Rhinolophus ferrumequinum: one gene and its partners. The protein of the gene in region 2 interacts with the protein of the main gene of each other region in a biochemical or structural test. Links are inferred from orthologs where the notes say so. Each region holds a gene or a part of one and is shown on either strand. Other genes may lie near its edges. The genes, in order: MAGI3, CRHR1 and MAGI2.

Region 1 (3,745 bases), on a different chromosome or scaffold from region 2:
CTTCAGTCTCCACCCTCATCTCAGGCAGTCTGCTTACTTGTCAGTCTCTCCCACTAGATTGTGACCTCCTTGAGAGCAGGACCTCTTGTTTTCTTCATCCTTGAACCCCAGTACCTAGCACAATTTCTGACATAATGTTAGCAGCAGCAGCAGCTACCAAATGGTAAGCATCCACTCCCTGCCAAGCACTGTGCAGGTAAGTACTGCATGTAATCTTCCCGACAACTTGGAGGGACAGAGTCACCTCCACTTATCGGCTAAGGCTGCTGCGGCTCAGAGAGGTGGTCGAATTTGCCTGAGGTCACACAGCATTGTGCAGTACTCTATTTTACCCTCTATCAAATGGACTCTGGAGTCCCAGCCTCAATAACATTTGTTGCATGAATGCACGAACAAGACTCAGTGTAAGTGATCCGCTGTAACAGCTCACCCTGGAGGCCCCGCCACCTCCGGCCAGGGACTCGGCGAGTAGTCTCAGGTCTAAAGTATACTCGTTCCTCTTGGTGCCGCTCCAGGCTCCGCCCCCGACTCCTCTACCCGGCTAGCCAGCCACGCCTCCACCTCGGGGAGTTTGGTCGCTCTTCTGTAACCGAGTTTTCTCTCGGCTCCAGCTGCTGCCGGAGGGCCTCTTTCGGCCCTGAGATCTGGAGCGGGTTCCACTCCCCTGCCCCTCCCCTCGCCCTCGCCCTCCCTCACTCTTCAAACTTCTTTTTTCCACCCTCTTTAAACTTCAGTCATCTTAGTGCCCGCCTCCTCCACTCCCACCAACCAATTGGTGGTTTTCATTCTCGGTGAGGGTCCATCCCCTGCCTGCCGGGGGCCAATCCCCCGCGCAAGAGTCGAGGGCTGGGGCTCGTTCCCAAGCGCCCGGCCTGTGACGGCAGCGCGCCGGGCGCCGCGCGGCGGGAGGGGGCGGGGCTCTGGATGAGGGATGGGCGAGGGCGGGGGGAAGGGAGAGAGGGAGGAGGAGGTTGCGGCGGGTTTGAAAGCGGCAGTTTCCTGGCAGCTGGGGCAGGCGTTGGTCTCCGTGCTCCAGCTTCGCAGCGGCCGCGATCGATCCAGCCACGCGTCTACGCTTGCTTCTGCGCGCCCCCGACGGATTTTTCCCATCCCGGCTCTTCCCCCTTCACCTCCCCGCCCTCCCAGGCTCAGCCTTTCCCGCCGCTCGGGCGCGGAGCCCGGGGGCCAGCAGGCTGCTGTGACCCCGCCCGAAACCCCTCCGGGGCTGCCCAGAGACAATTCCCTTCTCCTTTCTGCAGCCTAACCCGGGGTGGCCCTCGCAGAGCCCAGCCAGTCCCAGGGAGCACAGCCGAGAGGGGCATCCGAGGGGTGTCTCGGGGTGTGGAGTGGCCCGGCCCCCAGTGGGCTGTGGTTGGGGGGGTGCCGGAGCGGCGAGGCCCCCCTCGCCGGGCTGCGCGGGCTCCTGGGGCCCCGCCGCCGGCGCGGGGTCTCCCCCATGGTGCAGCGGGGTTCGGGATGTCGAAGACGCTGAAGAAGAAGAAGCACTGGCTCAGCAAGGTGCAGGAGTGCGCGGTGTCCTGGGCCGGGCCCCCGGGCGACTTGGGCGCGGAGATCCGGGGCGGCGCGGAGCGCGGCGAGTTCCCCTACCTGGGGCGGCTCCGTGAGGAACCGGGCGGGGGCACCTGCTGCATCGTCTCGGGCAAAGCGCCCAGCCCCGGGGATGTGCTGCTGGAGGTGAACGGGACGCCTGTCAGCGGGCTCACCCACCGGGACACCCTGGCTGTCATCCGCCACTTCCGCGAGCCCATCCGTCTCAAGACTGTGAAGCCAGGTACATCGGCCCTGCCTTTCTGTTGTGGGGATTGGGAGAAGTCGGGGTGGGTGTCCTGGGAGCAGCGGCCCCTCCCCACCGTTTATCGTGTGGGGTAATCTTAGACCTCTAGGGTGTGCCGGACTCCCGGGCGAGGGGGAGGGGTGGCAGTAGTGATTCCCATTTTGCCTTTGGGAAAACTGAGCTCTGGCTTGGCAGGGTTGCTCTGGGAGCTGTCAGAATTGCGACCAGAAGCTGGGTTGCCTAAATTTGTAGCTCCGTCTCCTACCACAGAGTTTTTGACTCGAGAGAAAACCAGCTCTTTTCTGCTTTCCTTTGTGGATAAGGTCCTCATGATTGTAACATTGTCTTTGGAACAATCTTACGCGTTTTCCAACAGGGAAAGAGGTCTTTACTACTGAGGCACTTGGTGCCAACGTTACCACCTAGTGTACCTGGGAGGGCTTAGCTGCTTCAGTGTTTCTTGCACACTAGCAACACCTTGGAGCTGACATCGTCACTCTGCCAGCCAGGTGGTTCAGGTGTCTGGGTACTGATGGTGTACAATATGTGACGCGTGGCCGAGTGGTGTGTTCCTGCAGGGAGCTGTTGAATAGTCTGGGGTTCGAAGGGAAGACCTAGGTGCTTCGCTGAGGAAAATCTTTTGTAAATCTTTGGTTTTACAGAAATTTGTTGAAGTGGGCAAAAAAAGAGTCCCTGTTGCCCTGTTGTCTCGTATGATAGTAAAATCTGCTGGAAAGCACGTTTCGCATATGGCATTCATGCCAGTTTCAAAGCACTGATCAGACTGAACAGCGAAATCTGATAGTATATAATAGACTTGACGTATTTGTAATCGACGACAGTGCTGGTCGGTTTCAGCGTTTCAACGGTGGTAGAATGTGGTTCTGTTTTCTGAGATGTTTGTAGGAGAGAGAATTATGACTACAATGTTATTAATAATCAAACTATTTTTGCTGAATGTGCTCTACTGAATATACAATGCATCAAAATATAATGAGCTGCTTAATTGTGATGGGGTAGAAAAATCAATCCATCCCTTCACTGCAAAAGGCTAGAAAATTCTGGGAAAAAATTTGACGTTATCTCCCTCGCTTTTTTTTTCTTTCTTTCTCAGTAGCTCACTTTGGAAATACCTCTTTTATAGTCCTTTGGGCTTAATAGGAACTGATGGTTTGTGGTGCATTATACCTATGTGTGTGTATTGTGGGTGTATACACGTACACACACACACACACACTCACATGTTCTTGCAATCTTCAATTAAGATTTTTCTCAGATGCTCTATTCCATCATACTCATTTTAAGCTTATGGGTTTATGTGAAGTTTTCTTTTTGTTGTTGCTAATTAAAAATATAACAACTTTGGCAGACTTTGAACATCTTTTCCAGTTTGTGAATTCAGAAATTCTTAACTCAAAGTTTTAGAGCCATATGTGAAGAGTGGAGGAAAGACTTTGGAACTGTATGTAGTTCAGCCAGTCAGGCACTGTCTGTAAAATGCAGAATCTTAAATACACACACACACACACACACACACACACACACACGCAACTTACTGGTCTAGGTGCCATTTAGTTCAAATTCCATGAGTCGAGGAATAATGAGAAAATCTGCATAATTGCTTTGTGTTTTGTTTTGGTTAGTTGGGGCATAGATAACTGTATTTTCAAAACTAGTTTAAAACTTGATTGAAGAGGAAGTTGATAGAAGACTGGGGAGATGTATCATTAATATTGGTCTGATCTGCATATTATACGTCTTCTCACCCTTTGTACCAAATTTAAGAAAATAATTCAGAGTGTATTTACTAATATTAATTGTGTTGAATAAACATCAGATGTTCCAGAATGGAGTTGACATTTTTATAGTAATAAAATTTTACCTTCTTGACAACTGCTGGTACTGTCCTATTTTAAATATTTAGCCAAAATAAAGGGAATAATTTATATT
Region 2 (3,745 bases):
CCAGGTTCAGCCCCTTGCCCAAACTGGGCAGGCACTTAGTCTGTAGAATGAATGAATGGATGAAGGAGCGAACGAATGAGTTGAGTGAATGAACGAGAAGGATTCCACCCGCAGAGCTTTCGCGTCTCTGTGAGCACCTGGCGTGTCAGTGCCAAAGGCTCTGGGGGTTCGGCCCAACTCCCCCGCCCTGCTGAAGTGGGAGCCGCAGGAACCTTCTCGTGGCCCGCTTCAGGGCGGGAACGGCCCAAACGCAGTTCCCATTTCTTCACCCGGTTTCCGCCGCGGCTCTGCTCAGTAGGGGCTGCCCTATTCCCCAGCCTCCAACAGTCTTGCTCTCATAGATTCACCTGAGTCCGCCAAGTCTCCCCCAGACTGCCCTGGACTCCCCGGGCCCCGATTTCAAGCCGGGCGAGAGGCCGGAGGCTGCCTCTGCTCCCGTCCCTCGCCCCCCCTCGCTCCCCCCGTCTCCTGCTTCTCCCCCCGGCTGCGGCGGCCGCCACCGCTGCTAGCGCGCGCCCCGCTGACTGCCGCAAACCCTGGAGCTGGGAAAGGGGGTCAGCGCGGCGAGGGTGCGGGAAGCCGGCCGGGGGGAGAGGAGGGGACTGGGAGACAAGGTGGAGGAGGAAGCAGAGGGGCGACGCGCGGAGGAGGGACTGAAGTGGAGGGGAGGGGAGAGAGATTGAGGGGAGGGGACGCCGCGGCGAGGGGGCGGGGAGCCGAGGCGAGTGGCGGCGTGGACCCAGGGGGAGACGGCGGGGGTGAGGCGGCCTCCCGGCGGGCAAGAAGCGGTTGCCAGCGGGGCTGAGTCAGGAAACGGCGGCCGGACTTACCCGGGAAGGGAAGAGCGAGAGCACGCCTGGCGGGGCCGGGCAGCCACAGAGGAGCCCGGCCGCCCATCCCATCCTCCTGAGCCCGCGACCGCCGGCCCGCCCTTTTGGGATGTCCGAGGGACCCAAGCACTCAGGACGGTGACCGAGCGACCCAAGGATGGGACGGCACCCGCAGCTCCGGCTCGTCAAGGTAAGAGCGAGCCGGTAGCTCTCGAGCGCGGGCGCGCTCAGCCCCGGGCCAGCGCGGGACGTGGGTGAGCCGTGTTGCTGGCGGTGCTGGCGGTGGTGGTGGTGTCAGTGGGCAGAGCTGCGCACAGGTCTGGGCGCGGCCGGGGTTTGAGGGGCTGCCCAACTCCCTCTCCCTGGACCTTTGGAGGCGTTGGGTGGGTGGAGGGACAACACAGGTGAAAAAAGAAATCGCGGTGGCGAAGCTGCTGGGATGTTGGCGGAGGAGGGGGTCCGCCCACCCGGGTAACCGGCTCTGTGCAGAGAATCGCTTTAGGCTTTGGGCGTCCAAGCTCCCACCCCTCCCAGGCAGACCCCGGCCCCGGGACAGGGGGCTCTGAAGCTGAGCTCCCTGCCCGTCCCATACCTCTCATCAGCAACCCCTCTCCGCACGCCCCCTCCCTGTTCCTGGGAGCTCCTTCCTGCCCCTTCCCCTGCGCGGAAAGATGCAAGTCCGGGGAGATGAATGTCACCCGCGCCTCGGAGCCCTTGATCAATATCGCAATCTCGGCGGCTGAGACGGTGCATTCGGAGGTGGGTACTGTTCTCGCGCGGCCGCCCGCCCGCCCGCGGGAGCGCAGCGCTCGCTCTCCGAGTCTTTGCACCGGGCGCTGCGCAGTGGGCCGTGAAGGCTCGCGCCTGCCTGGGGTCTGGCAACGCGATTCTGGCGCCCGGAGTTTCGGAAAGTCGCCAGACCTCACGTCCAGCGTCTGCCCGCTGAAGTTCGGGGGCGGCAGGGGGCTGCCCGCGGCGGTGTGGGTCCGGGAAGGGCTGGGGATAGACAGTCCGGCCCGCGGCCACCTAGTGACAGCCTCCACTCCCCAGCGCCCAGCGCTTCCCAAAGCGGTTCGGCTTGCAGGGTGAGGGCACGTAAGCAGCAGACGGAGGGAGAAGGCGGGTGGGCCTACGCGCCGCCGCGGGGGAGCCCGGCCAGGCTCTGGCCAGAGGATCCGGACTCGGCCGGGTTGATATGGACGGCTTGAGTCACAGACGCAGACACCAGCGTGACGGGGTTCAGTGCGTTTAAAAGCGATTTCATTCAGAAGAATTGAGTGGACTGTGGGGAAGGGTGCGGGTTGACTTTTCATTTTCCCATCAGTTATTAAACCAACTGTACGCATACCAACTCACAAAGTGGTTTGAGGTAAACCACCGAGGTTTTAAAACGCAGCTGTTCTCAGTTCATCAGTTGAGAGGTTACCAGTTACCGAGGCTTCTCCGTGTTCTCCCCCCGTGTCCCAGATATTTATAAGTTGTTTTGTGGGTTTTGTTTTTAATGACTGAGGGTTGGTCCGATTGAACCCACATCCCCTTCGCCACCCATTAACTGAGTACTGGGGGTGAACCTAGAGATTATTTTCTGGGTGATCAAGGAGATCTGGAGAGGGAGGTACGAAGAAAAATATCCAGAGAGGATGAATAGATGGCACTGAATGGGAATTTTTTCCAAAAGATTGGTGTGGACTCCCGGCCTTGGTCGAAATTCACAAATCAGTTAGACCGAATTCAGTGTCTTAAATGGATTCAAAGGATTGAACTGTAGACAGATTTTGTTTGTTTGTTTCTTTTTAAGTTTACTTGGTAATAAGTAAATGTTCTTTCTTTTTGGCCTTTCTGAGAATCGTGTGCAAATCACTGCCTAAAATTATCATGTTTTCCTAAAAGAAAAAAATATTTTTTCTGTTGTTGTTGTGTGTGTGTTTTTCCTACTAGATGATGAGGTATGTACCCTTTATGTCTGATCTAATGAACTCAGTAAGTGCTCAGTAAATACCGAACTGAGTGAGAGGCAGTGAGTGAATGGACAGCTAATGCTGGTTTCAGTTAAATAATTCTTTTTTTTCTTTATGCACAACTTGCTGGGTGTTGTTCTACCTGCTTTGCAAATATTACATCATTTAGTCCTCATAACAGCCCTAGGAAGTAGGAATTATTACTGAGGCACAGAGAGGCTAAGTAACTTGTTCAAGGTCACACAGCCAGTAAGTGATGGAGCCAGAATTCAAACCCAGGCACTGTGGCTCTAAGGCTTTGTTTTGTTAGCGTTTACCAGAAAACATTCTAAGCCATTTAACTCTCATCCTAGACCTCTGCCAGATGAGAGTTCAGGTAGTTTTGTCAGTATAAAATTACGAATCTAGGGGAGTTAATCCAAAACCCAGCTCTGTCCCCAGCAAGTCGGCCAGTGTTGGGCAAGAATCCACTCTGCAGCCCTTATTGTGGGCCTTGTACTGCAGAGATTACAGAGAACTGGGGCAGAGTAGGGGTGGGGTGGGGTGGGGAGAGTATGTGGGGAAAATGTGTGTGAGTGTGCATGAGAGAGAAATGTGTGTGCGTGCATGAGAGGGTGGTTGTGTGTGTGAATGCGGGAGAGATGTGTGTGTGCGTGTTTGTGGATGCGAAGGAGGAGATAAGTGAAATATTGCCTCTACACCCAAGGGAGCGGGGTTCCAGCGCATCTGGGTCAACCTACCCACTAGCCACAACTCCCTGAAGGAAGACCCGAGTGTAACTCAACACCGTGGGTTCCGGTGAGTGTGAAGGGTGGAGAAGGCAAGGCCTGGGTGGGTTATTAAAGGAGAGTGAGTTCTGAAGAAGGAGCTGGTTTTCTTGCTGTTATTATTATAAAAGTAATCTAGCCACGTTACACAAAGTTTGGAAACCAGAGGGGAAAATTATTACAGGCTCAC
Region 3 (3,745 bases), on a different chromosome or scaffold from region 2:
TACTCTATTTGCCTTCCTACTTAACTCATATTCTTCAATTTCATACACTATTAAGCAATGTTGACCTCCAAGTCAATGTTTAAATTAGCCTATCTCAAGTCATCAGCTATTAATACTCAAGAATCCCCAACGAAAACGTTTTCTTGCATGACAATTTACATTCAAGAAATTTCACCTGAAATATCTTTTCCACATGTTTGCCTTTAAAACCTATTTTTATAGAGAAGAACATCTCCCTAAGAGTATTTCTTGACAGTTTTCACGAAGTAAGATAAGTGCTTGTTCAAAAGGCAGGCAATGACATGCTCAATTCCATCTTTGAGGCGGGACAACCAATGGAACCCCACCAACAAACCTTTGCATTGATGTGAACACGCATATGTACCCTCCCACCCCACATGAAGTGTGCCGGTGATCTGTAAACGGATGCGATCACGTGTGGAAAACAAAGATACACTACTTTATTCTAGTTAAAGTTGTCTTCTTTCCAAGAAACCGTTTTCGCACTCGTCCCTGCTTCAGGACCATCATTTTCTTTCATGCGAAGACAGAGTTAGGGAGCGTTCTGCCAAGATTCCAGTCTCCCTAAGTCCTCATCACAGCATTCAAATGAAGCTCCTCTGATAGGTGGCCTGAGCTTTTCCCTATAACTCCTTAGAAACTTGACCCCTGTCCCCATCGGAAGGCAGAGGTGAGTCCAACCACAGAGAACTTCCACTCAAAGAGGGCAACCACTGAGTACAGAACATTCATTCGGGGAGCCATTGCTCTCCTCCCAAACCCCTGACCCTACAACCCGCTCCCGGTGCCGCGCCTTCTTCCAGAGCCTGCTCCAGCGGGCCAGCTCCGGGGTTAGTCAGTGCGCACGTGACGCGCGGTGCTCACGTGATTGACTGTGGACGGGGGCGGGGGACAGAGGAGTGAAGCAGGGAAAAGTTAAGGAAGACCGGTCAAAGCGCTCAAAGCAATCGGTCCCTTCTCTTCTTCGTCAACTAGTGGCTCAGGGATTCCTAGGAGATGGCTGCGGGTCAAGGAGTCTGCGGTCCAGATCCCCAAATCAGGGGGTGGAGGGGGGCGTAGTTCTCTGTTCGCCCAGCCACCTTCCGCTCCTCTCCGCCCTGCCCTGCTCGTGATGCCGCTGCACCCTCAAGTTGCTCCTTCCTTCCATTTCTCCCTCCCTCTTTTTTCCCTTCTTCCCTTTTTCTCCCATCCTCCCTCCCTTCCTTCCTCCGTCCGTCCCTGAAAGCTCTTCATCCACTGCGGGCGATGCCACTGACGCACATTCAGTTTGCCCCTGGAGCTCGCCTGCACCTCTGAGGTCAGACAAGGCCGAGCACCTTCCAACGGGGAGGGTATAACTGCGCAAACAAAGTTGCACGCCACACCGCATCCTGCCCTCCCTTCCATTTAGCCCCGATTCGGATTCTCCGCAAAGCTCACTTGCCCTGCCGGTACTCTCTCGACCTCACCCCACCACCGTGCAACACACCCCCTTCCACAGCGAGCCCACCCTTCCATTGCCCCGCGCTTCGAGCGGTCCAGCTGCCTGGCAAAGCCCGGAGCAAGCCGCTGCGCTCACCTTGCTTGACACACTTGAGCCGGAGGGGGTCCTTGCAGTGTTTGATCACGGCCAGCACGTCCCTGATGGTGAGCCCCGCCACGGGGGTCTCGTTCACCTCCAGCAGCAGTTCCTCCGACACCAACTTGCTGCCGCTCTCATAGGCCACCTTGCCGGGCTTCACCTCCCCCAGGTAGGGGAACTGTCCATTCTCGGCGCCCCCCTTCAGTTCAAAGCCCAGCTGGCCCTCCGGGTTCCTGCCAATGACACTCTCATGGACTTTGCTAGTCCAGTGGCTTTTCTTTTTCAAGCTTTTGGACATGGCAGTGGGGCGAGTCGCCTCAGCTCCTGAGGGGTTCCTTTGGGTAGGGGGATTGGCGATGAGAGAATGAGGATGGAGGAGCAAGGGGGCCAAGAGGTGAGAAGAGCAGACTTTGCCTTCCTCCCCCTCTGTTCGGTGCTTTCCCTCTTCTTTGGATGGAGTATGGACGAGGAAGGGGGAGGATGAGAGGGACGGCTGGGCAGAGGTAGGAGAGCTTGGGTGAGGTTGTGCTGTCCCTTGAATGACACTCAAAGCTGTGGCCCCGCAGCAGAGGAGAGCTGAGGAGGTGGTGGTGGTGGTGGCGGCGGCGGCGGCAGCCTGAGCGAGCAGTAGCCGAGCTGGTGAGCGGGTGGAGTGGGGGTGGGGAAGGAGGGTAGGGATGCCGGGGGCCACTCCTGCGTGGTGCGAGTGGGAGCGCGCGCGCGCCTGGGTGTGTGGTGTTAGCTGATACCCATGGCAGCTGCAGTGGCAGCGGCGGGTCCGTGTGTGTGTGTGTGTGTGTGTGTGTGTGTGTGTGTGTGTGCACTAGTTGTACAGTACTGGCAGGAGGGGAGGAGGCAGGCTGAGAGGAGGAGGGGCGCGCGCGCGCCGGGTGGGGGACCGCTTCGCCGCTGTCTCCCCTCCCTCCCTCCGCAGCTTGACCCGGTAGTGAAGGCAGAGAGAGAGGCAGGCTGCGTCCGCCTGGCAGCCTGCGAGAGGAGGCGGGAGCGGGAAAGGTGGGGAGCCGAGGCCCGGCGTGGGAAGACGGGCAGGCAGGGCTGCGAGCCCAGTGCGGACCTTTCTGCAGACTGCCGGCGGCCGAGCGGTGCGCTGGGCTGCGGCGCTGCGAGGACGCTCCGTCTGCCTCAGACGCGGGATGGGCTGGAGCAGAACTAGCGAGACCGCGTGTTGAGCGCGCCGCGGTGCGGGCGCTACAGCTGGAGCGCCGCCGGCCCCCCTGGCGCGGAATCCGGCCGTGAGAGGGCTGACTGCGGGCCCGCTGGGGAGCTGCGGGAGAGGCCTCGGCGCTGGGAGCCGCGGGGGGCGCAGGATCTCGCTGTTTAGAGAGACTCAGTCTCTATGCGGTTTCGGTTAGATCGTGGCAGAGTTCTCAGACTTCCCATCGGAGGCGCGGAAAGTTAAGAGAACTGCAGGCGGGGCCCCCTGACAGCGGGGATGGCGAGGTAGCATCCCCTGCCCGGGGCAGGCTGAGCCCACGCGTCGGGCTGAGGGAGGAGGTGTCTGGAGAAAGGCGATTCCCGGGATCAAGGGAAAGGGGCTTCGGGTTTCCAGGTTGGGAGGAGCGGAAAGAAAGGGGCTGGGTGTGGAGTGGGGGGGTGCAGTGAGCAGCCTCCCCAGAGAAATGGACAGTTTAACCGGGGAACTGCAGCGGAGACGGCGGGGGCACGCCCTCACCCTGCAATGCCCGCAGATTCGGGCTGGTAGCTTGGGAAGAAGCCTTAAGGTGATCTGACCCGACAACTTCCTCCGACTGCGAAGGAAAAGAAGGCCGGCTCCGAGGGTGAACGTAGCGGCAGAATGGGGGCTGGCACTCAGGTAGCTGGCCCACCACCAGGCTCCTTCCCTTCGCCAAGTTTGCAGCCAGGAGGAGAGGTGAGGACTGAGGCACAGGGATGCAGGAGCAATGCTGATTATCACTCAACGCAAATGTCGTGTGAGATGTTAGGAGTGGTTTAAAAATCTCTGTAATTGGTAAATTAATTTCGTTTGCCTTACTTTCAAAGGATATGTTTAAGACAAGGGAAAAAAAAGTCGCACACCCACTCATCTCTTTAAAGCAAAGCATGAAAAGCACTGAGCAATTAGTATTCTTGATGTCTGAGATGGAGATAGTGTGGGAGGCGAGCGGTACAGTTAAAAATGTT

Evidence for each region.
Region 1: the proteins of CRHR1 (region 2) and MAGI3 form a complex in vitro, tested with the Homo sapiens proteins (2 studies listed by BioGRID and IntAct, with this or other methods). The link is inferred for Rhinolophus ferrumequinum from reciprocal best matches to the Homo sapiens genes CRHR1 and MAGI3.
Region 3: the proteins of CRHR1 (region 2) and MAGI2 form a complex in vitro, tested with the Homo sapiens proteins (2 studies listed by BioGRID and IntAct, with this or other methods). The link is inferred for Rhinolophus ferrumequinum from reciprocal best matches to the Homo sapiens genes CRHR1 and MAGI2.

The regions. Positions count from the first base shown.
Region 1 is NC_046305.1:44,417,564-44,421,308, forward strand, and holds the start of MAGI3 (membrane-associated guanylate kinase, WW and PDZ domain-containing protein 3), read left to right. Parts: upstream 1-968; 5' UTR 969-1,476; coding exon 1,477-1,792; intron 1,793-3,745.
Region 2 is NC_046304.1:40,821,851-40,825,595, forward strand, and holds the start of CRHR1 (corticotropin-releasing factor receptor 1), read left to right. Parts: upstream 1-1,048; 5' UTR 1,049-1,517; coding exon 1,518-1,589; intron 1,590-3,745.
Region 3 is NC_046303.1:44,642,939-44,646,683, reverse strand, and holds the start of MAGI2 (membrane-associated guanylate kinase, WW and PDZ domain-containing protein 2), read right to left. Parts: upstream 2,358-3,745; 5' UTR 1,881-2,357; coding exon 1,580-1,880; intron 1-1,579. UniProt on the Homo sapiens protein: Seems to act as a scaffold molecule at synaptic junctions by assembling neurotransmitter receptors and cell adhesion proteins. Plays a role in nerve growth factor (NGF)-induced recruitment of RAPGEF2 to late endosomes and neurite outgrowth.